3 linked regions of the Elephas maximus indicus genome follow. The protein of the gene in region 2 purifies or fractionates together with the protein of the main gene of each other region. This does not show direct contact. Links are inferred from orthologs where the notes say so. Each region holds a gene or a part of one and is shown on either strand. Other genes may lie near its edges.

Evidence for each region.
Region 1: the proteins of CHAF1A (region 2) and SETDB1 purify together in Homo sapiens (affinity purification with western blotting; 3 studies listed by BioGRID and IntAct, with this or other methods). This does not show direct contact. The link is inferred for Elephas maximus indicus from reciprocal best matches to the Homo sapiens genes CHAF1A and SETDB1.
Region 3: the proteins of CHAF1A (region 2) and ASF1B purify together in Homo sapiens (co-immunoprecipitation; 7 studies listed by BioGRID and IntAct, counting the BioPlex papers as one, with this or other methods). This does not show direct contact. The link is inferred for Elephas maximus indicus from reciprocal best matches to the Homo sapiens genes CHAF1A and ASF1B.

The regions. Positions count from the first base shown.
Region 1 is NC_064821.1:184,996,202-185,004,100, reverse strand, and holds the start of SETDB1 (histone-lysine N-methyltransferase SETDB1), read right to left. Parts: upstream 3,092-7,899; 5' UTR 3,005-3,091; intron 2,999-3,004; exon of another isoform or gene 2,895-2,998; intron 2,638-2,894; exon of another isoform or gene 2,539-2,637; intron 1,529-2,538; 5' UTR 1,518-1,528; coding exon 1,258-1,517; intron 363-1,257; coding exon 211-362; intron 1-210. UniProt on the Homo sapiens protein: Histone methyltransferase that specifically trimethylates 'Lys-9' of histone H3. H3 'Lys-9' trimethylation represents a specific tag for epigenetic transcriptional repression by recruiting HP1 (CBX1, CBX3 and/or CBX5) proteins to methylated histones.
Region 2 is NC_064821.1:7,418,590-7,425,923, reverse strand, and holds the start of CHAF1A (chromatin assembly factor 1 subunit A), read right to left. Parts: upstream 3,064-7,334; 5' UTR 3,053-3,063; coding exon 2,776-3,052; intron 1-2,775. Other genes in the region: SH3GL1 (endophilin-A2), read left to right, coding at 7,051-7,095. UniProt on the Homo sapiens protein: Acts as a component of the histone chaperone complex chromatin assembly factor 1 (CAF-1), which assembles histone octamers onto DNA during replication and repair.
Region 3 is NC_064821.1:32,773,355-32,780,384, forward strand, and holds the start of ASF1B (histone chaperone ASF1B), read right to left. Parts: upstream 3,010-7,030; 5' UTR 2,829-3,009; coding exon 2,720-2,828; intron 1-2,719. UniProt on the Homo sapiens protein: Histone chaperone that facilitates histone deposition and histone exchange and removal during nucleosome assembly and disassembly. Cooperates with chromatin assembly factor 1 (CAF-1) to promote replication-dependent chromatin assembly.

The sequences.
Region 1 (7,899 bases), about 180 Mb from region 2:
AAGAAACGCAAGGGAATTCAGAACAGAGGTTACAAAGAATTGGGAAAGAAGGTTGATGCCAACTGAGGAGTAACAAAGAGGGGACATCTATGATACTAATAGGTCAGGCAGTTCAAAATATCAAGTTGGTGACTCTGGTTTCCCCTTTCTTATCTTCCATCTGCTCATCTTCCAGTTCGAGACTTTTCTATCCAAAGCCTTATCCCTTACCTGAATCAATACTGAGTACATCATCATCTTCATCAGGAATCTCGATTATTTCTGTAGGCCGAGAAGCTTCATCCTCAGAGCTACTTTCCCGGTATTGTAGTCCCAGCTTGGAGTAGAAGTCCTTCACCAAAGACTCACAATTAGTCACTGCCCTAATTGGAACACATGTGGAAAAGAAGGTCAAAACCAGCAGATGAAGTAGGTGTCAAAAAAAAAAAAAACCAAAACCAAACCCACTGCTGTTCAGTCGATTCCGACTCATAGCGATCCTATAGGACAGAATAGAACTACCCCATAAAGTTTCCAAAGAGCGGCTGGCAGATTCGAACTGCCGACCTTTTGGTTAGCAACCATAGCACTTAACTACTACGCCACCAGAGTTTCCGAAGTAGGTGAAGGAACCATTAAAATTTATATATAAGTGTAGACTGTCCTCAATTTAAACCATACGCTATATAATTGTAAATTCTGCTGTTTAGAATTTAACATGCTTTTCCCATAGAAAAATGTTTTAAATGGTGGTCTGGTTTCCAGACTAGTTCCTCAAATATCCAAAATAAGCCCAGAGCATAGTCCTTTCAACCGTACCTCATTAATTAGCTTATTGTTATTTGAAAATGTGTTTTAGGTAACAACTAGGGCACCATAAACAAATCTTCTGGGGGTTTAGGAGCAGATATAGGGTTTTTCAAGTTTATTAATGCTCTACAACTACATAAGACAGCAAGTAACTCTTTACGATTTTGATTCCCTAAATGATTTTATTAGGGAAACAAAGTAGGATTATGAAGTAGAATGGGGAAAGAGAAAAGGGACTCAAGACATGGACTCCCCTACTGCTGATCACATGTGAAGCTCTGATAAATGGGTAGTCTATGTATGGTGGTTGTGAAGTCTGATTCTGAACCATAAACTATGAGGAAGAATAGGGTCCTACACATTTGTACTTTATAAAGTACAAAGTGCTTTGCACGATGTCGTGACCAATTATACATTAAAAATGCCTGCAATGAAGAGATTTCCTTTTAGTTTCTGTATAGTCCTCACCTGGATGCATCATCAAAGAGCTGATCAACATGGGCCACCTCAGATTCCTTCTGTATTACCCAGGTCTCCAATTCTGCTAGCTGCTTCTTGCGCTGCTGTACGCAGTCCATCTTTTCCAGTTCTTCATCAATGAACTGCCGAAGTTCCTCCATAGAGATGCCTAGCTCCTCAACCACAGCCTGCTGCAGCTCTGCAATCTCTTCAGACTCCACTGCAGCAGTTGCTGCCTCCAAACCGACGCACTCAGGAATGGAGGACATGCTGATGTCCTCTGAATAGAACAGAATTACCCTTGGGGTCATTGTAACTACAATCAGTAGGAAATTTCACTCCCCTAATAAAACTCATTCCTACTCTGTTACCTGCTATTTAAATTTGATTCTATGTTCTCTTTCCCCATTCTCCAGAATTTGATGCTGAGATTTCGTAGAGTTCTCAGCCTATGCTATACACTAACAGGCCTGAATAAGATTTCAGATTGAAAAGCGTGGAAAACACAGTCCCATAGGCTACATAGGCATCTTACCTTACAATTCACATATGACATAATAATGCTTATTTTCTAGCGTCTGTAAAAAATTCTATTCTGTACGTGCATTTCACGTCAGTGTGTTACCAGAAGTTAGGAACTGGTTACATTTATGTTGTTCTTTTTTACAAGGCTTCTAACATAATTTTGCAAGCTGGTTGTTATAGGATACTTGAAACAGAACTTGAAAATTCAGTTGGGGGACATTCCAGGTGGGGGAAAACTATGAGAGTATTTCAAGAACTTTGGATGTTTTGGGTAAAACACAGGTAGTGGTGAGATAAACTGAAAAGCTAAATTGGAGCCAAATTAGAATGCCTTGCAAGGCTTAAGAAGTTTTACCTGATTCTTATGCAGTGGAGAACCAATGAAAATGTTTTAGCAAACTGAAGAGAATCAATCTACATAGGAAAATAATTTCTGTGAGCCAATTGGTTTCTTAATCGACTAATGAGATAGATCTATGCCTACATCTTATCCCTAATTTGAACAAATATCCCCACCTGGGGAGGGGGCTTTGCTCTGTAACGCACTTTGCGGTGTTTTCTCTTTTAACTACTTGTCTCCCTTATATTACTTCGCTTCGGTGTGAAAATTTACTTTCTAAATGTGATCGCTGTCTGTAACGCCACAAAAAAAGTCTTAAGCACACAAAAGCTTGCAGCAAAAAGAGGTACCCCTAAAGTAAAAGGAAGTAAATTAATTTGGGAATAAAATGTGGCTATCTTAAGTTCACAATCCAAAAAACTCACATTGGCGTTAAACTGTTTTTCCGATCAAACGGTAGAAACAAGACTGATGTCAGATAAGCCGTGCGACCTCAACGCCAGTTCCCAGTGCCTCCATTTTTTTACCACACCCGTCCGACCCTCCCTCCCCCAAGCTACCCAATTTAGAGGGGGCGTCCCATCCACCCATAGGCCCATCTCGACCCCGCCCCCGGTCGCCTCTCGGGGAAAACTTCCTTCCTACTTTCGCCCAACCTCCTTCTACAAACAAAACATTCCAGACAAGCCTTTGGTCCCTAGATACCTCAACTAACAGTATTCCCTACCTCCCCGCTCCCAGCTGCAAAAGCTCTTTTTCACCAACCAGACCCCAGACTCACCACTCTCAGGTCGGCCTGGACGGGAAGAGGAAAGAACGAAAACGAAGGGAATGAAGAACAGGGGAGGGGGAGGAAACGTGAGGGAGGAAAGGGGACGCCCGGAAGCAAACCTTAGGCGCCGTTCCGGTCACCGCGACGGTAGCCTAATGGGGTCAAATTCAAAGCCGCGGGGCGCCCCTAAGAGGCTGAGACTGACTTAGGCGACTACGCATGCGTCAAGGCAGAGCCTTTCGGAGCACACGTGAGAATCCGTGGCCGGATAAAGTAGGCGTGGCCAGGAGTGTATTAAAGAAGCCCCGCCTCTTCTACCACCCTTCACTCCCACCACCCTCCACTGGTGCCAGTGATTCTACGGTTATTGTGTAAAGACTCAGTAGACAAACAATCTTAGGTTTCGGTATTATTTGTTACTTTTACTTGATTTTATTACGTAAATCATACAAATCAAAGGATATCCAGATGTAATAAGAAAAACGTGATAATCATTTCCCCTCCCCTTATTTACTACCTCTGCTCCTTTGATATAAGACAACTTTTTTCTCTAGGCTTATACATGAACTTTCATGCATATGGATTTTTTGTTTTCATTTAATGTGTGGCTATTGCTTGAAGTCAATGAAAGAGATAAAACTTGTCTTTTTGACAACTGCATAATACCCATTTCCATCAAACGGACTCATAGCAACCCCATAGGGTTTCCAAGGCTGTCTACGCGGAAGCCAACTGCCACTTCTTTCTCTCACAGAACCGCTGGTGGCTTCAAACGGCGGAGCTGTCGCTTAGTCGATTGCCTTAACCTGTACGCCACCAGAGCTTCTATTTCTGTGGGATAAATTCCCCAAAACCGTTATCTCTGAGTGAAAAGATTTGCACATTTTTCATTTTAAAGGAATCTTTTGTCAAATTACTTTTCAAAAGGTTGTAACAATTTATACTTCTACTAACAAATTTTTGAAAGTACCTGTTTCCCCCCACTCTCATTAGAACTGAATGTTAACTCTCTACTTAATTTTTTTTAATTGTGCTTTACAAATCAAGTGAGTCTCTCATACAAAAACATACACACGTTGCTGTGTACTCCTAGCTGTTCTCCCGCTAATGAGACAGTGCACTCTTCCTCTCCACCCTGTATTCCCAGTGTCCATTCAACCAGCTCCTGTGCCCCTCTGCCTTCTCACCTCCCCTCCAGACAAGAGCTGCCCACTTAGCCTCATGTGTCTACTTGAGCCAAGAAGCTCACTCCTCACCAGTATCATTTTCTGGCTTACAGTCCAGTCCAATCCCAGTCTGAAGCGTTGGCTTCAGGAATGGTTCCAGTCTTGGGCTAACAAAAGGTCTGGGGACCATGGCCTCTGGGGTCCCTCTAGTCTCAGTCAGACCGTTAACTCAGGTCTTTTTATGAGAAATTGAAGTCTGTATCCCACTTTTCTTCTGCTCCAGCATGGATTCTCTGTTGTGTTCCCTGTCAGGGCAGTTATCTGTCATAGCTGGGCACCATCTAGTTCTTCTGATCTCAGGCTGATGGAGTCTCTGGTTTATGTGGCCCTTTTTATCTCTTGGGTTCTTATTTACCTTGCATCTTTGGTATTCTTTATTCTCCTTTGCTCCAGGTGGGTTGAGACCCATTGATGCATCTTACATGGCTGCTTGCCAGCATTTAAGACCCCAGACGCCACTTACCAAAGTGGGATGCAGAGTGTTTTCTTAATACATTTTGTTCTGCCACCTGACCTAGATGTCCTCTGAAACCATGGTTCCCAGATCCCTGTCCCTGCTACTCTGGCCTTTGAAGTGTTCTGTTGTATTCAGGAAACTTCTTTGCTTTCGGTTTAGTTCAGTTGTGCTGACCTCTCCTGTGTGTTGTCTTTTCCTTCACCTAAAATAGGTCTTGTCTGCTATCTAATTTGTCTACTTAATTTTTAAGAACTTGATGTGTGTAAAATAATATTTGTATCAGGATAGGCTAGGTTATATTGTGGAACTCAGCTCATGGTAGCCACTCAGGGACCCAGGCTGATGTGTAGCTAAGCCAAAGAGAGAGAGTTACCAACGGCCTCACATGGCAATTAAAGTAACTTAGATCACTTTCATTTACAACTCATTGGCTCCAACTAGTCATAAGGCCCCACCCAGTCACAAGAGACAATGAATGCAATGCCATTCCTCTTCAAGTTGCCATTCCTGGTATAGTAGATCATATGATTGTCTGATTCAAAATGGCCAATACCAGTTCATTTCAGCTCACTAATGCCTAGGATATCGATGTTTATGTGTTCCATTTCATTTTTGATGTTTTCCAGTTTTCCTAGATTCATAATTCGTACATTCCATCTTCAAATTATTAATAGATGTTTGCAGCTGTTCTTCTCATTTTGAGTCATGCCACATTAGCAAATGAAGGTCCCAAAAGCTTGACTCCATCTACATCATCAGGATCCACTCTACTTTGAGGATGCAGCTCTTCCCAAATTGTCTTTTGAGTGCTTTCCAACCTGGAGGGTTCGTCTTCCAGCACTATATCAGACAATATTCTGCTGCTATTCATGAGGTTTTCATTGGCTAATTGTTTTCAGAGGTAGACCACTGGGTCCTTTTTCCTAGTCTGTCCTAGTCTGGAAGTTCAGCTGAATCCTGTCCACCATGGGTGACCCTGCTGGTATTTGAATACTGGTGGCATAGCTTCCAGCATCACAGCAACATGCAAGCCCCCACAGGACGACAAACTGGGAATTCCAGAACACTTAGTTTTGCTTATAAGGAACCTGTGGACAGATCAAGAGGCAGTCGTTCGAACAGAACACGGTGATACTGTGTGGTTTAAAGTCAGGAAAGTTGTGCGTCAGGGTCGTATCTTTTCACCATACCTATTCAATCTGTATGCTGAGCAAATAATCTGGAGAAAGATGCATTAACAACCTGTGTTATGCAGATGACACAACCTTGCTTGCTAAAAGTGAAGAGGACTTGAAGCACTTACTGATGAAGATGGAAGACCCCAGCCTTCAGCATGGATTATGCCTCAACATTAAGAAAACAAAACCACCTACAACTTGACCAATAAGCAACATCATGATAAACAAAGAAAATGCTGAAGTTGTCAAGGACTTCATTTTACTTGGATCCACAATCAACATTCAACATTCATGGAATCACAATCAACATTCATGGAAGCAGCAGTCAAGAAATCAAAAGACGCATTATTGCACTGGAAAAATCTGCTGCAAAAGACCTCTTTAGAGTGTTGAAAAGCAAAGATGTCACACTGAAGACTAAGGTGCGCCTGAGTTAAGCCATGGTGTTTTCAATTGCCCCAAATGCATGCGAAAGCTGAACAATGAATAAGGAAGAGCAAAGAAGAACTGACGCCTTTGAATTGTGGTGTTGGTGAAGAATGCTGAATATACCATGGCCTGGGAAAAGAATGACCAAATCTATCTCGGAAGAAGTACAACCAGAATTCTCCTTAGAAGCAAGGATGGCGAGGCTACATCTCATGTACTTTGGACATGTTACCAGGAGGGATAAGTCCCTGGAGAAGGACATCATGCTTGGTAAAGTAGGGGGCCAGGGAAAAACAGAAAGACCCTCAACAAGGTGGACTGACACAGCAGCTGCAACAATGGGCTCAAGCATAACAATGATTGTGAAGATGGCGCAGGTCCAGGCAGTGTTTTGTTCTGTGGGTCGCTACAGGTCGGAAGTGACTCAACAGTACCTAAGAACAACAACAACCACAAGAGTGCCAGGAAGGGCAGGCCTACGTAATTGCTGGAATGTGAGAGGACTGGGTATAGCTGATAAAGTGTGTTACAATGTAGAACATTTTCTTTATAAATTGTTATGCCAATTGAGCTAGATGTCCCCTGAGATCATGGTCTCTAGCCCTCAGCCCAGTAATTTGCTCCCTCTGGGAGTTTGGATGTGTCTGTGAAGCTCCTATGACCTCACCTTGATCAAGTTGTGCTGACTTTCCCAGTATTGTGTACTGTCTTACTCTTCGCCAAAGTTATCACTTACCTGTTGTCTAGTTAGTGTTTTTCCCTTCCCACCCCTACCCTCCCTCGTAACCATCAAAGATTGTTTCTTTCTATGTGTAAACCTTTTCATAGATTTTTATAGTAGTGGTCTCATACAGTATTTGTCCTTTTGTGATTGACTTATTTCGCTCAGCATATGCCTTCCAGATTCCTCCGTGTTGTGAGATGTTTCAGAATCATCATTGTTCTTTATTGTTGCATAGTATTCCATTGTGTGTATGTACCATAGTTTGTTTATCCATTCATCTGTTGATGAACACTTAGGTTGTTTCCATCTTTTTGCTATTGTAAATAATGCTGCAGTGAATATGGGTGTGCACATGTCTCTTCATTTGATGGTTCTTATTTCTCTAGGGTATATTCCTAAAAGTGGGATTGCTGGATTGTATAGTATTTCTATGTCTAGTTTTTTAAGGAAGTGCAATATTATTTTCCAAAATGGTAGTACCATTTGGCATTCCCACCAGAAGTGCATAAGAGTTCCAATCTCCCCACAGCCTCTCCAACATTAGTTATTTTCTGGTTTGTGCCAGTAGTGTCCGGGTGAGATGGTATCTTGTTCTAGTTTTGATTTGCATAAGGTCTGAGAATTTATGTATCGTTTTTCCAGGTGATGCGTATGCTACTGGTCCTGGGACTAGAGTTTAAGAATCATTGTCTTAAATTGCCCCTCACCCCTTACAGAATTAACTCCTGCCCTGTGCTTCTATCGCCTTGGTTTATTCCGCGTGTGAGTTATCTGTGTACATCTTTGCTTCCTCTGCTGGCTTGTGATCAACTAAAAGCTGAGATACTGTCTTAATCATCTTTGTCCCCCCAGCACCTGATATACTATCCCCACACATGTGGTGCTCTGTAATGTATGATGAGAGAAGGGAAGTCTTTGCTTTGGTCTGGTTGAAATTTATCTCCATTAGTTAGATTCTTTCAGTTTTCCAGAGTGTATTGTGCAGGGTGAGGGGAGGGAA
Region 2 (7,334 bases):
CTACTAGCATTGAGTTGGTGGAGACCAGGGATGCTGCTCAATACCTACAGTACACAGGACGGCCCCACCCAAGAGAACGATCCCGCCGAAAATTGGCAGCGTCAAGGTGGAGAAACCCTGCCCTAGACACTATCATATCTTCCTCTGTCTTCCTGCGGTACTGAACCGTTTGCGTTCATGATGTCTCCCACCACAAGAATGTCATAGCCATGACATTGAGAAGGCTTGATCCACACTGTACCTATAGCACCTGGCTCAGGGACTGGCATAGTAGGAAGTCAACGAATAGAGTAACAGGCATAGAGAAAAGTGGAGTGGGTGAAAGTGGAGATAAAATACTGTATTAACAATTTTACTGTTAACGTGATGTCGCCATCAGTCAGAATCTACTCAACTGCAACCGAAAACAAACGACCCTAAAACATCCTCCTCTCACTCCCTACAAACCCGTAAAATTAGATTGGGTTCACTTTCTTTTTAGTTTAGAGCACTTTGAGCGTATGAGGTAGAAGCTAAAATGTTGCCAAGAAATAATTTGAAAGAACAATTTCCTGTATCAAAAAAGTTCTCAAGAAAAGCAACTAATAATATCAAAACTGATGCAGAAATGACCATGAATAGAACCAAGCTTTTGGGTAAGTAACTTTAAATAGTTAGAGTAAGTTTAGAAGCTCACACCTGGTAGAAGACCTGGCTAGGAAAAATCTAGTTATTTTGGCCAATCTACATACATTTTGTAAAAGATACATAATAGTGAATATTTTTTAAAGGGAGACTACTGGGGCTTTCTAAAAAAACTCAGCTGTCCACAGATGAAACTCCTTCCCCCTGCCCCTGCAAAGCGTGGAGAGTAAGAGAAGGTACCAGAAGGTTCACACTTCCTATCTGCCCATTTCAAGGGAATGAAGGCATTACCATCTTCATGTTCTCAGTTACAAAAAAAACATGGACTTTTTTTTCCCCTCTCAAGTGAAGGACACGCAATCTTTAGCCACTTAAATTTATTTTCAGGACAACCACAGGATTTATTTGCATGGCCCTGAGTCACCAGCTTTGATGCAAACGGAGCAGAGAGACCTGGGCCCAAAAGCAACCTGAGGTTGACAACAAGAGGGACCCATCCAGGGATCCAGGGAGCTCCAAGGCACACACACAGTCAACATACACTGGTGTATAAAGCTGTCAGCTGTTCTTTATTCTGAGATTACATCCTTCCTAATTTTATTTGGTGTTAAAGCATCCTTTTCTGATGCTATGGTCACAGAAGGTGGTGGTATTTTTTCTTTTTTAACACCCTCAATTGGTGAAATAAAATGACCACAGCTCCATAACTACTTTATATTAATTTTACATCTCTGTGAACTCCCCAGAGTCTGGAAACTTCTAGAACGGGGGTGGGTGGGTGGGAATAATGCAGTCCAGGGTACACTTGACAACATCTGGAGGCATTTGTGGTTGTCGCAACTTGGGGGGGATGCTACTGGCACTGAGTGGGTGCAGGCCAGGGATGCTACTCAAAACCCTAGAATGCACAGGACAGCCCCCTACGACAAAAAGTTATCTGACCCAAAATATAAATATGGGCCTGGTCTAAGGAAATAGGGGAAGGGAGGGGTGATTCTGTGCCCCAGGAGACACTGATGATGTTGTCTGGAGACACTTGTGGTTGTCACAACTTAAGGGGGTGCTACTGGTATTGAATTGGTGGAGGCTGGGGATGCTGTTCAAATGTCAGGGTCCAGGTGGAGAAACCCTGTGCTATATATACAGTTAAATTTCACCAATATTAACCAAGCACTTTTTGTCACTAACATCTAGTTCAGGGGTTCTCACCCAGGGTGATTCTGCCCTCAGAGGACTCTTGGCAATGCCCGGGGACGTGTGGTCGTCACAACGGGGAGCTGCTATATCATGGAGTGGGTGAAGGCCAGGAATGCTGCTCAACACCCCACAGTGCACAGCGCATCCCCACCCCAGAGAATGATCCGGCCCTCATATCAGCAGTGCCGAGGTTGAGAAGCCCTGGACTAGACTAGTTGGCGTCCCTCCCATCCCTTAATTCATTCAACCAACACAAATTTATCGGGCGCCTACTATGTGCCAAGCATTGTGCCAGGTGCTGGGACCCAATGGGGAGTTGAGCGGTGGGAGAGGCGGGCAGTCTGGTCTTCCGTGGTTCACCCCACGTTTTGGGGGGCCCGCTGTGTGCCAGACAGAAAGACCCTTCGACAAATACGGGGTGGGGGGAGAAGGCAGCTCATCATTTTGCATAGCAGGCAAGATCAGCACCGCGGGGATCTCAGCTCTCTGACACTCCCCACCACCCTGCCCTCTTACCTGGACTTGCCCTGACCCGCAGACGTGTGGTCTCGGGCCTCAGTTTCCCCACCCGACCAGAAGGTCGCTGCAAGGCTCAGGGGCCCCATAAGCACTCGGTAACTTCCAAAAGCCGGCCTTTTTGCCTCCCTGGGCCTCAGTTTCCCCACTTGGACCGGTCACCCCCCCAGAGCCCTGGAAAGACGAACTGACGCAAAAGCGCCGGAAAAACATGGTCGCGGCCGCAACAATAACGTCAAGCAGGGCGCCCTGCGGGTCACAAGGCCCTTGGTCGGGATTATAACGGCCGGCCCCACGGGCTGAGCGCCCGGCGCGGAGGAGCAGGCCCGGAGCCCGGAGGCCCGGAGCCCCCAGCCGCCGCCTCGGCCCTCACAGGCCGCGCGCCGCGCCCCCCCCTTCCCCCGGGCCCGGACCCGGACCCGGACCCGGTCCGACCACCTGCGGCGGCTCCCCTGGCGCCCGGCGCCCCGCACTCCGGCTCCTCCAGCATCGCTCCGGCGGCGGCTCGATCCCTCCTCAGGCGGGGGAGGCGGCGGAGGCGCGGGCTCCCCTCAGGCGGCCGCTGCTGCTCGCCCTCCCGCCCGCGCCGCTGCTGCCGCGGCCGCCGCGCTCGTATTTGGCGGGAACCGCGGCGACCCCCGCAGAACGCGCGCCGATTGGGCGAGGGCGCGTCACGTGATAGCCCGTCTCGGGAAGAGGGGAGCGCCGGGAACATCCTCGCGAGAGCCGTTGCCTCCATTCCTCCCATGGCTCGTCTATTGATATTCCCGCGGGCGGGGGAACTTTCTCTCGGCAGCCTGTCATTGGCTGAGAGAACATGCCCTGCGATTGGCGAAGGAAGGTGTCAAGCTTAGAGATAAGCACTGTGATTGGCTGAAGTGCGTGGGATAAGTCGGCAGGGGGGAGGGAGGGCCAGGCTTAACGTCATGACGCGAACGTGTCACGTAAGACGCCGGGTGACAGCTTGAAAAACTGCGGTTTAGAAGACGATCTGAAGTTTTGAGTTTAATACCCAACAGCAATTAATATTACAAATTACTTGTTAATGAGCAATAAAATAAAAACTGGGCAGCGCTTCAGAGGGCTTTGACATGTAGTAAATATATTCGGAGCGAATGAAATGCAAGTTTCGGGTTAAATTCTCGGGACATGCTGTTTTCTCTGCCTAAAACCCTCTTTCCGCAGCTCTTTCTAATTTGTACCTAACCTTCAGATCTCAGGTAACACCTCAGAGAAGACTTTCCCTCTCCACCCCCAACCAGATCAGGCATCTACAACACTTTTTTTTTTTTTTAAGCACTTAGAGATTCTAAGTGTCTACTAAAAAAAAAAAATTTTTATTTAATTTTCCAATTTAGGATTTCCAAGGCTATAAATCTTTACAGAAGCAGACTGCCAAATATTTCTCCCACCTTTCAGTTAGCAGCCTAAGAGCTTAACCACCGCTACCCCAGGACTTCTACATACATAGTAGGTGCTCAATAAATATCTGATTGAATAAATATCATTTGATTGACCTGTGGAGATCACGCAGGTTAAAAGCCTCACACAGAGGAGACGCTCAGTAGAGATCCTCAGTGTCAACCTGCAATTCTTAGAAATAGGTTTGCTTCAGCACTCATTTAATGTTTGAGAGAAACAGGGGTGAGGAAAGATGGGAAATTTAGCCTGAGTTTGGAAGTTTATTGCAGTAGATTGGATAATTAAATCGGTAGAACTTGTTGAGAGAGGAGCATTGAGAAATAGGAAATTGGGGAATATCATTTCAGTCAGGTCATGTCACATGACTCAGGTTTCTCCATCTGGATCATGAGGATGTTTTCCGTCCCGTCTCTAACATTCTGGCATTCTGTGATGATTTAGACCAGTGGGTCACAGCTGAGGGTGTATGTCAGAATCACATGGGAGGTTTCTCAAACTATTCATAACAGCACCACCTAGTGCATAAGGATCTTGGGAGTGAAGCCAGTACTGAAAAAACTCCTGGAGATTCTGAAGCAACCTTCTGACTAATCTAGTCCAGCATCTCTATTGAGCCATTTGGAAACTTCTAACAACCTTCCGCATTCAGAAAATCACCTAAATCTAGGAGATTTCGGCATAGAAGTTCCAAGTACTTTGTCCCTAATCACATTCTTGCTATTCTTTCCAATTCATCTCTAATCCTTTCGATAAACTCTCATTGTGTACTCTCTGTGTGTCAGGTCCCCTCCAGATGCTGGAAAAAAATTCATTAATTTATTCAACAAATATTGATTGTCATCAGGCAAGGTGCTACTACAATGCTGAATAAAACCTTTGTCCCATGCCTCCAGGAGATAGGCCCATCAGCAGGCTCTTCCGCCATTTGATGATACATGTCATGGTAGTGCCGGGTTTCTCCACCTCAGGACTGTTTACATTGGGGGGCAGATCATGCTTGGGGAGGGGGCCTATGGATTGCAGGATGTTGAGCAGCATCCCTGGGTTCTACCCACTAAATGCCAATAGCACACCCCCCCTCCCGAGTTGTAACTACCAAAAATGTCTCTAGACACTGCCAAGCGTCTCCTGGGAGGGTAGCGAATCACGTCTGGTTGAGAATCACGGTGGTAAATTGTCTTAGTTATCTAGTGCTGCTATAACAAAAATACCACAAGCAGATGGCTTTAACAAAGAGAAATTTATTCTCTCAAGTCTGAATTCAGGGTGCCAGCTCCAGGGGAAGGTTTTCTTTCTCTGTTGACTCTGGGGGAAAGTCTTTGTAATCAATCTTCCCCTGTTTTAGGAGCTTCTCATTGCAGAGAGCCGGGCCCAAAAGGACATGTCCCCCTCCTGTTGATTGGTGGTAGGAGGTCCCTCCCCTCTCTGCTCCATTCTCTCTTTTATAGCTCAAAAGGGATTGACTCAAAATACAACCTAATCCTATAGATTGATTACTGCCTCATTAACAGAATTACCTCTAATCCTGCCTCATTAACATTATAGAGGTTACGATTTACAGCACATAGGATAATAACATCAAATCACGAAATGGTGGACAGTCACACAATACTGGGAATCATGGCCTAGTCAAGTTGACACACATTTTTTTGGGACACAATACAGTCCATAACATAAGGGTATAAACATAAGGCAGTTAGCAAAGCTACCCTGTATTTACCGCATTATAACATGTCTTCAATTGAGGTATTTGGAAATGCCTAGCAATCTTCTTCCTTCAGGAAAGCACTCACACCTTTCAGAGATTTAAGCATAGAAATCACAAGCCCTTTAGCTCTAATCACTTTCTTGGGTCTCTTTCTGATTCATTTGGTCGTTCCCATTCATTATTCATGTCCAATTCATTCAACAAAAATTTTACCAACAACAATTGATAAAAACAATATCAACAAACATGTGTCAGATCTGGGAAGGGGTCCTGGAGGAGGTGCCATGCCAAGCTGCGTCCTCTTTTATGCACAAAAATCCGCTACCATTGAGTCACTTTCAATCATAGTAACCCTATAGGACAGGGTAGAACTGCCCCATAAAGTTTCCAGGGAGTCCCTGATGGATTTGAACTGCTGACCTCCTGGTTAGCAACCGTCACACTTACCACTACACCACCAAGGTTTCCTTTTATGCACAAAGGACGGGGGAAAGACTGGTGAAGAATATGCAAAAGAAAAACAATCTTAGCAAAGGCCCATAGGCATCTGGGATCATTGATTATGGAACAGGAAGAGAGTTGAGGTCAGAAAGGTTGGTGAGGCCAGATTATTCAAGTTTTGCAGATGGAGTAAGAAGTTTGGAATATATCTTGAGGGCAGTAGGTGGATTTTAAACGGGGGAATGATGCGATCTAAATTGTGTTATAGAAGCATCTTTATGGCTGCCTTGTGGGGAATGATTTTAAGGTGGGGACACCAGCAAGGAGGCTGGTGGAATGGTCTGGGCCAGGGCAAGAAGGGCAGTGGGGATGGTGGAAAGGAGGTAGACGCTAAACACAGATGTCTGACTTAGGCAAATGAATGGATGAACACAGAGCAGGGTGGGGGGAGGGGCTAAACACACAGAGGAATTGGGAATAGCCGAGGTTGTTGTTGCACGCTATGGTCAATTTCAACTCCTAGTGACGGCATGTGACAGAGTAGAACTACCCCACAGGGTTTTCTAGGCTGTAATCTTTAGGAAGAAAATCGCCAGGCCTTTCTTCCGCGGAGCTGCTGGGTGGGTTCAAACTGCCAACCTTTCCAGTTAACAGCCTAGACTTTGACCGTTACACCACCAGGGATTAACTTCTCAAACACCCCCTCTCCCCACTTCCAAGGTTTCAGTGCCTATCCTAGGAATTGAGGGACACCTCCGGGACTGCAGGGGAAGCTGCAGCTGCGACGTCCCCTCTAGGCTCGCACTGGGCCACTCGCTGGTGTGGGCGGCCTCTTCCCAAGGCTGCCCAAACGCGCGTGCGCTCCCCGGCCGACAGGGGGCGAGCGTGCGCAGAAGAGGCCGGGGGGAGCGGGGGCCGGCGCCGGAAGTGTGCGGTTGCCATGTAATATCCTGGCCGCGCGGGCGCGCGAGGGCTGAGGCGGCGCAGCGGCAGGCGCGGAGCTGGAGAGAAAGCGGCTGAGGCGGCGCCGGAGGGGCCGCTGAGGCGCGCGGGGGTCGGTGGCGCCCGGGAACTTGTCGATTAGGCGGTCGGTCCGTCCAGGTCGCTCTGTCCGGGCGGGAGGCCCGACGGCGGGAGGCAGCATGTCGGTAGCGGGGCTGAAGAAGCAGTTCTACAAGGCGAGCCAGGTGAGCGGGGACCGAGCGGGGACCGAGCGCGGAGCGACAGGCTGCCGGGAGTCCGGGGCCCAGCCCAGGCTCGGGAGGGGGCCGAGGTGGCGGCCTTGGCACGTGTCCCCCGCAGGGTGGGGGCGCCCCGGAGGAGCGGGGGGCTGCGAGGGGGCGCAGGCCCTGCCCGCCATGGGGGCTCCAGTGTCCTCGAGAAGGGTGAGCAGAGACGGAGCAGAGCTGCACCCACAGTTGCCCAG
Region 3 (7,030 bases), about 25 Mb from region 2:
CCAGAGAGACTTTTAAGGCAGCCCCACTCCATCTGTTTGGAAGGCAGGAAACGGATTCTGCTTTGTGGGAAGAAGGCCAGGAAGAGGCAGAAAGCAAGCTGGCATGTCAGAGTCACCAACAGCCATAGGAGGTAGAACCATAGAGTCTGGATTCCCAGGCCAGGGTTTGATTCCCAACTTGAGTTTCTCTGAGCAAAAGCTCTACTATCTGGCATAATTAAGAATAGCGCCCCTTTTACTCTCTTTTGAATGTCCTGATTTGGCAATAAATTGTATGGTCCCTCCTATTTATAAGCAGCCCTGGTGGCACAGTAGCTAAGAGCTCAGCTGCTAACCAAAAGGTCTATGGTTGGAAACCACCAGCTTGCTCCACGGGAGGAAGAAGGGGCAGTCTACTTCGGTTAAAGATTTACAGCCTTGAAAACTCTGTGGGACAGTCTTACTCTGTCCTATAGGGTAGCTTTGAGTTGGAATCAACTCCACAGCAATGGGTTTTTTTGGTTTCCTATTTAAACTCCGCCTCTAAAGTAGGAAATGCTTTCTTTCTTTCGCCTACTAGGATAAGAGCAAAGACAATGAAACCAGACTCAGACCTCAGCAACAAGTTTTCATCCCAACATTTCTATAAACTGGCTGTGTGACCTTGGAGAAGTCACTCCACTTCCCTCTATTAAAAAGGAAAACACTGCAGGCTAACTTTAACCTTTCCTGTCCCAATACTATAAACAAATTACTAAAGTCACCGGGCACGGACTTCCAGGAATAATAGTACTAAATAATGGCCATGCAACCATTTTTAATTCAAGAAGTACAAACAGGCTGATTGCAACCTGATCTCCTGCCATCTGGGAACTGTGAATCCCTTAACCTATTAGCTCCTTACATCTCTTCCTGGCTTTAAAATTAAATCTTATTCCACAGTGTCATTCTACACTTTATTTATTTATTTACACCCAGACTTGTTCTAGCAAGGATTTAACTTGGCTTACTCTATACTTAGTCACAAATGGACTCCTTAATTTAAAAAAAGAGTGTGAGACACAGGGGGAGAGTGACCACTGGCTCACCTGTAGGCCACACATCCTTCAAACTGTATCAGCCGCAAGCAATCCAAGCAGCAGGCTCTGTGAGCAAACCACACATCTGCCACTGAGAGGCGCTAGTTAGCGCGCCAGCCTCACCTCAGTTGCTGCCCCTTCTCCTTTAATGGCCAAGTGGAGAGGTGGTCTAGCTGATTACTTCCTCCTGAAAGCAGGACTTGCCTGTCAGCTGTGCCAAAGCTCCCTGGGTGACCTTAGCCATTTAGTTTTAGATTTTTATAGACCTCTTCTTGAAAGGTCTTTTACTCTTTGTGGTGCCTGCTTTCTCATCTGAGATGAGAGCCATGTCTACCTCCTTTATGTCACACAGACTTGTAAGTACATTCATGAAAGCACCTTGGAAAAGATGCACAAAAGGTTGTGACCTCCTAGCTGATTATTTGAAGCCAGATGCTGTCTCAGCTCAGCCTGTCCCACCCACTCCTCAGACTAGGTCAAACCATCAAACGCATTGGAAGAATTGCTGCAGTAAGTCAGCTGGAACCTGGTGGGCAAACCCTGGGAACTGGCTCACACTTGCCTGGCTACACCACCCCTCAGATTGGCAGGTGTTTATCCAAGCTGATTAGCAGAGAGGAGGGAGAAACAGGAACTTGGGAGGACCAAGTTACCCTCCAAGTCTAGAGGGAGAAGCCAGGCCATCCCTCCCTAGATGGAGCTCAAGTGTAGGGGATCAGACTGAGGAGGAGAAAAGCCAAGTTCTAGAGTGTATGCTTTGGGGTGGAGAGCAAGCAGAAGTTGGGAGGCAAGGTGGGAAAGATGTTTAAATATAAGCAAGTTGGGGAGGGGATTGTTAGGGGAGATGGAGTAAGATCATGTGACAGGAAAGTCTTAACAGGGAAAAAGGAAGGTGACTTTAGGGGGAGGTCTCCACAGGGAAAAAGAAGGGGTGTTTGGAGGAGAGGTCTCCACAGAAAAAATGACAGGTGGCTGAGGTCTCTACAGGATAAAAATGAGTTGGGAGTGTCTGGCCACAGGGGAGTGGGGATGAGTGGCAGCCTCATCCCATTGGGTGGCTGGAAGGGGGGGTCTGGCCTTCCAGAAACGGAGGGTCACTTGGAATGCGTCTTGCCATAGGGAAGAATGGAGGCTGAGAAGGTCCCTACTTAAACGGGTAGCTGGGAGGAGCTCTACCAAAAAAAAAAAAAAAAAAAGGGATGATGTTTCCACAGGAAAGTGGGAGAGTGGGGTTGGCCATGGAAGGAGGGGTCTCCACGGGGTGGTCAGGGTTGGCTGTGTGTGGGGAGTCTCAGGGGCAGGTCAGGATTGGCACTGGGGGGGTCACGGGGGAGGTTAGGGTTGGCACTGGGGGGCCTCAGGGGGAGATTAGGTTTGACACTAGGGGGTTTCCATGGGGAGGTAGAGGTTGACGGGATGGGAGGGTGTTTTCACAGGGAGGTCCGAGTTGGCCACCGGAAGTCAGGGTTGGTTGTGTCAGGAGGATCTCGGGGAGATTAGGGTTGGCATTGGGGTGGTCTCCATGGGGAGGTCGAGGTTGATGGGGGCTGAGAGGTGTCTCCACGAGGAGGTCGGGGTTGACCGTGGGAATGTCTCGAGGGTAAGTCGGGGTTGGCCGTGGGGGGAGGGGGGGAGGTGTCTCCACACAGGCCCAGCCTCACCGTCCGCCAAGGCCTCATTGCACTCGAAGCTGATCTCGAACCGGAAGGGGCTGTGGAAAGGGGTCGGGTTCTCCAGCACCGCCACGTTCAGCACCGATACTTTGGCCATCGCCTCGCCGGGCCGGGGCTGGTACCAGGGCTGAGGCCGGGCCGGGGCCAACCTAGGGCCTGCGTCCGGTGGGTTAGGAGGCAGGGTTCCAAGAGCCGCTCCCGACTCCTCTCTACGCGGACTGAAATGCGCACCTCGTCCGCGCGCCGCCTTCAAATAGCCACCCCACCCCCCGGCCAATCACCGCCAACGCTCCCCGGCGGCGCGAGCCCGTCTTCAGCCAATCCTGGAGCGCCGGCGGGCGCGCGCCGAGACTCCCGGACCAATCAGGGGTGCTCCCTCCCCGGTGAGCGCGAGAGGGACGGGAACGTCTCCATGCTTCTTTGGGCCCCCATCCCCACCTGGGAGCCAATCCCCAGTGTCTCCGACTCGGATGCAGAGGGCGAGAGTGGGCGGAGAAAGAGCAGGGCCTCCTCCTGGCCAATCCCAAGGGTTCCCGCACCAGCGTGGCGCGCGCTTCGCCCCGCCCTTCCGGGGCACGCATCCCACGGGGCAGCGCCGCCAACGGCCGAACGGGGGCGCGCGGCGCACGCTGAAGAGGGCGGGAAGGGCGGTGCTTGCGTCAGCGGTGATTGGCGGGCGGGAGTGGGTGGGAATAAAGCAGGTTTAGTGATAGGCGATTGGCTGAGTTGACCGCGGGGGCTGGAGGAGAGCTAGCACAACTGGGATTCGCGGAATGGGTGGGGGGAGTCGGGCGCCTGCGCGACTGCGTCGAGTCTGAAGAGAAAAGAGCGTTTGCGGCCTCGGCGTCTGTCAGCGGGTGAGCGTTACCGGGAGCGTCACTCAGGAGTTCCTGGCTACTCAGGTCAGGCGGCCAGGGAGTCCGTTATGAACGTTGTGAACGTTGGGCTCAGCCGTGGGGAGACGGAGTGGCAGTAACGCGCTACGCTTGGCCTGGCTTCAGGACTGGGGCCTGGTTCGAATCCCACTGTCGGCATCTCGAGGGCCGCTGGGAGGTTTCAAGTAGATAATACCCCTCAAGCGCGAAGCGTCTGATAGACGTGGGTTCGAGTCCGAGCTCTGCCACTCCCATTTCCTCGTCCATTAAACGGGCTGTGAAAATTCACTGACATGACTCGTGACTCCACAATACTTGCAGAAACTTCACCTCCATCCGTGGTCTGGACCACCGACGCCTCCTGCCTGGAGCACCCAAGAACTTCTGCAACCACTCTGTCTCGGCGACCAGTATTGTCCAGTGGAAAAGTAACGCAAGCCACATACCTAATTTTACATTTTCTAGTATCCACATTAAAAAAATAGAAAAAAAGTGAAATTAATTTTAATAACGTGTCAAGTCTAATCCCATATAGCCAAAATATTACTGCCACATATGATTATAAAAATACGAAGGAGATAACTTACGTATTTTTACTCAGTACTAAGGCTTTGACAGCCTGTGTGTGTTTCACAGGTACAGCACATCTGTAACTGGGACCCTAAATTTTCATCGGAAATAGTTATTCTGCCTTTAGGTTTCATACAGTTTACAGTTGGAGAAGTAGATTCGTGTGTCGAAGTTGTTCCAAACATGCGTAAAAGTTTTCCATTAGCTGAATTGTATTTCGGAGTTTTAATTTTTAAATTAAATAAAATTGAAAGTTCAGTTTGCAGTTGAATTTGCCACCTGTGGAAAAAGACTCCTGTACTATTGGATAGTGCAAACCTAAAACAGTTGGATCAGGTCACGCCCCTGCTTGAAACGGGAGTGGTTTTCTACAGTTCTGGACTGAGAACATTGTTATCAAGACCCTACATGCTTTGTTTCCTATTACCTACTCATCTCCAGCTTCAGTCCAGCCAAACAGACCCCTTTTTTGTTGCTTAAAAAACTGATAGCTCAGAGCCCCTGCCTGGAACCTCTTTTCCCAACTCTTGGCCCAGCTAGTGCCTTTTCACTCAGGCTTCTTGCTTCAAATGCGCTTTCCTCAGAGAAGCCTTTCCAATGGTCCCCTGGACAGTGTTCAAACTTACTCCTTTGGTATTCTGGGCCATCTAGGATGGGATGTAAGCCTCTGCTACTCTATAAACCTTAACAGCACTGATCTAAGCCTCCAGCATCTCTTACCTGGCCACCTCTGGGTTCTCCTCAGAATCTTAAGGCTTCATGGTGTGAGGCATATATATTTTTTTTTTTTTTTGGTATATACATTAAGAAAAAAAATTTTTTTCCATTAAAAAAAATGGGAAGTTATTTTTTTCTTTTGATATTACTTGCCTGCAAGAAAATTGACATTTATAATTGGCTTGATCTGGCAAATGCTGGGCATACTTGGGAATTTCTGTGACTTGAGAAGAATCTAATTTCCAAATGATTTCCAAGTGTGATTGATTTTTTGCAAATACTAAATTATCAATGCATGAAGTTGCTATGATGTTAAGTTTTCTAAATAAACATTTAGTTAAACATTTATTGATTTCAACTTTGCAGTTTTGTTTTTTCTCTGTGGAAGTTTTTCCCCCTTTATCCCCACCCCATTGTTTTCATAGCTCCTGAAAAGCTCAGCGGCCACAAGCATTTTCTGTCTGTGGTGCTAGTAGAGAAAATGGTCCTGTCTGTGACGAGTTCTCCATACAGCCGTCCGAGTGATCTTCAAATATAAATCAGATCATGTCATTCCCCTGCTTAAACTCTTCAAAGGCTCATCATACCTAGGATGAATCCTAAAGTCTTCACTATGGCTTAGGAAGGTTGCCGAAGTTCCTTAGGAGGCCCTGCATGGTGGCCTTAGCTGACCTCTGGGACCTAATCTACCACTTCCCTTTTTGCCACCATTCTCAAGCCATGCTGGCTTTATTGCTGTTCTTTTAATTCACCAAGCTTATTCCTGCCTCAGGGCTTTGCACTTGCTGTTTCCTCTGCCTGGAATGTGCTGCCCCCAGATAATTGCGTGACTGTCTCATTCCCATCATTTATGTTTCAGCTCAAATGTCTTTCTTCGAGGAACCTTTCCAGACCACCCTATTGACAGTAGCACTTCCTTAATCATATCAACCTGTTTTATTATCTTAGTAGCACTTATCAGAACCTACAACTGTGTTGGTTTTAAAATTGTGCTTATTTGTCATCTCAGTGGGTTTAAAGCTATTTGAGGGAGTTTTGAGGGCAAGGATCTCACCTGGCTTTCTCAAGGTTATATTTCCAGAACTTAGCACAGGGCCTGGCATGTGGAAAGTCTTCAGTAGATCTTTTAAAAAGAATAATACCACTTAAAGGGCTTAGCATAGCACCTGGAATGTGAAAAGCAATCAACATGAGCTGTTAGTAGTACGTACCTGCTGCCGTAGAGTCAGTTCTAACTCATGGCGACCCTATAGCACAGAGTAGAACTGCCCCATAGGGTTTCCTAGGCTTTAATCTTTACGGAAGCAGCCTGCCACATCTTTCTCCCGAGGAGTGGCTGGTGGGTTCGAGCTGGTGACCTTTTGTTTAGCAGCCAAATGCTTAACCACTACTCAGTAAAAAAAAAAAAAAGGCCTGTATTATATTCTTATGTAATATTTCAGTTGTATGCACACAGACACAAAAAGTTTAAGAAATACTATAACAAAACACCCTTTTACCCACTATCCAGCCCAAGAATTAGAGCCCTGGTGCTGCAGTGGTTAAGAGCTTGGCTGCTAACCAAAATTTGGTCAGCAGTTTGAATCCACCAGCTGCTCCTTGGAAACCCTATGAGGCATTTCTGCTCTGTCCTATAGGGTCGCTATGAGTCAGAATCAACTCGACAGCAATGGGTTTGGTTTTTTGGTATATACTCCTGCCTGATATCCATTCCTTTCTCTTTTTCTCAAATGTAACAGCACTACTGAATTTGGTGTTTTTTTTTGTGTGTGTGAATGTTCTTACATCTTCATATTCATGTGTCTTTAAGCAATATATAGTATTGTTTTTCATATTTTACAATTTTATATCAATGGTGTATGTGCAAAAAGAGAACATAGCAGGCCTGAGACTGCTATCTTTAGAAACGCCTGCTTACAAGGTTGGCCCTTGGCTGGCATCTGGGATTTTGGATTTCAGGAAGGTTCCCATCATCCCCTAAATGATAGTAATAGCTCCTTGTGTCTAACCTGTGCTTTATGCTGAATATCAGATTTCCATCTGGGAGGGTCTGGAATTTCAGTACCTGCAGGCAGGATGTGCCTACGTGACCAGCCCCCGATAAAAACCCTGGGCCCTGAGTTGGTAGAGAGTATCC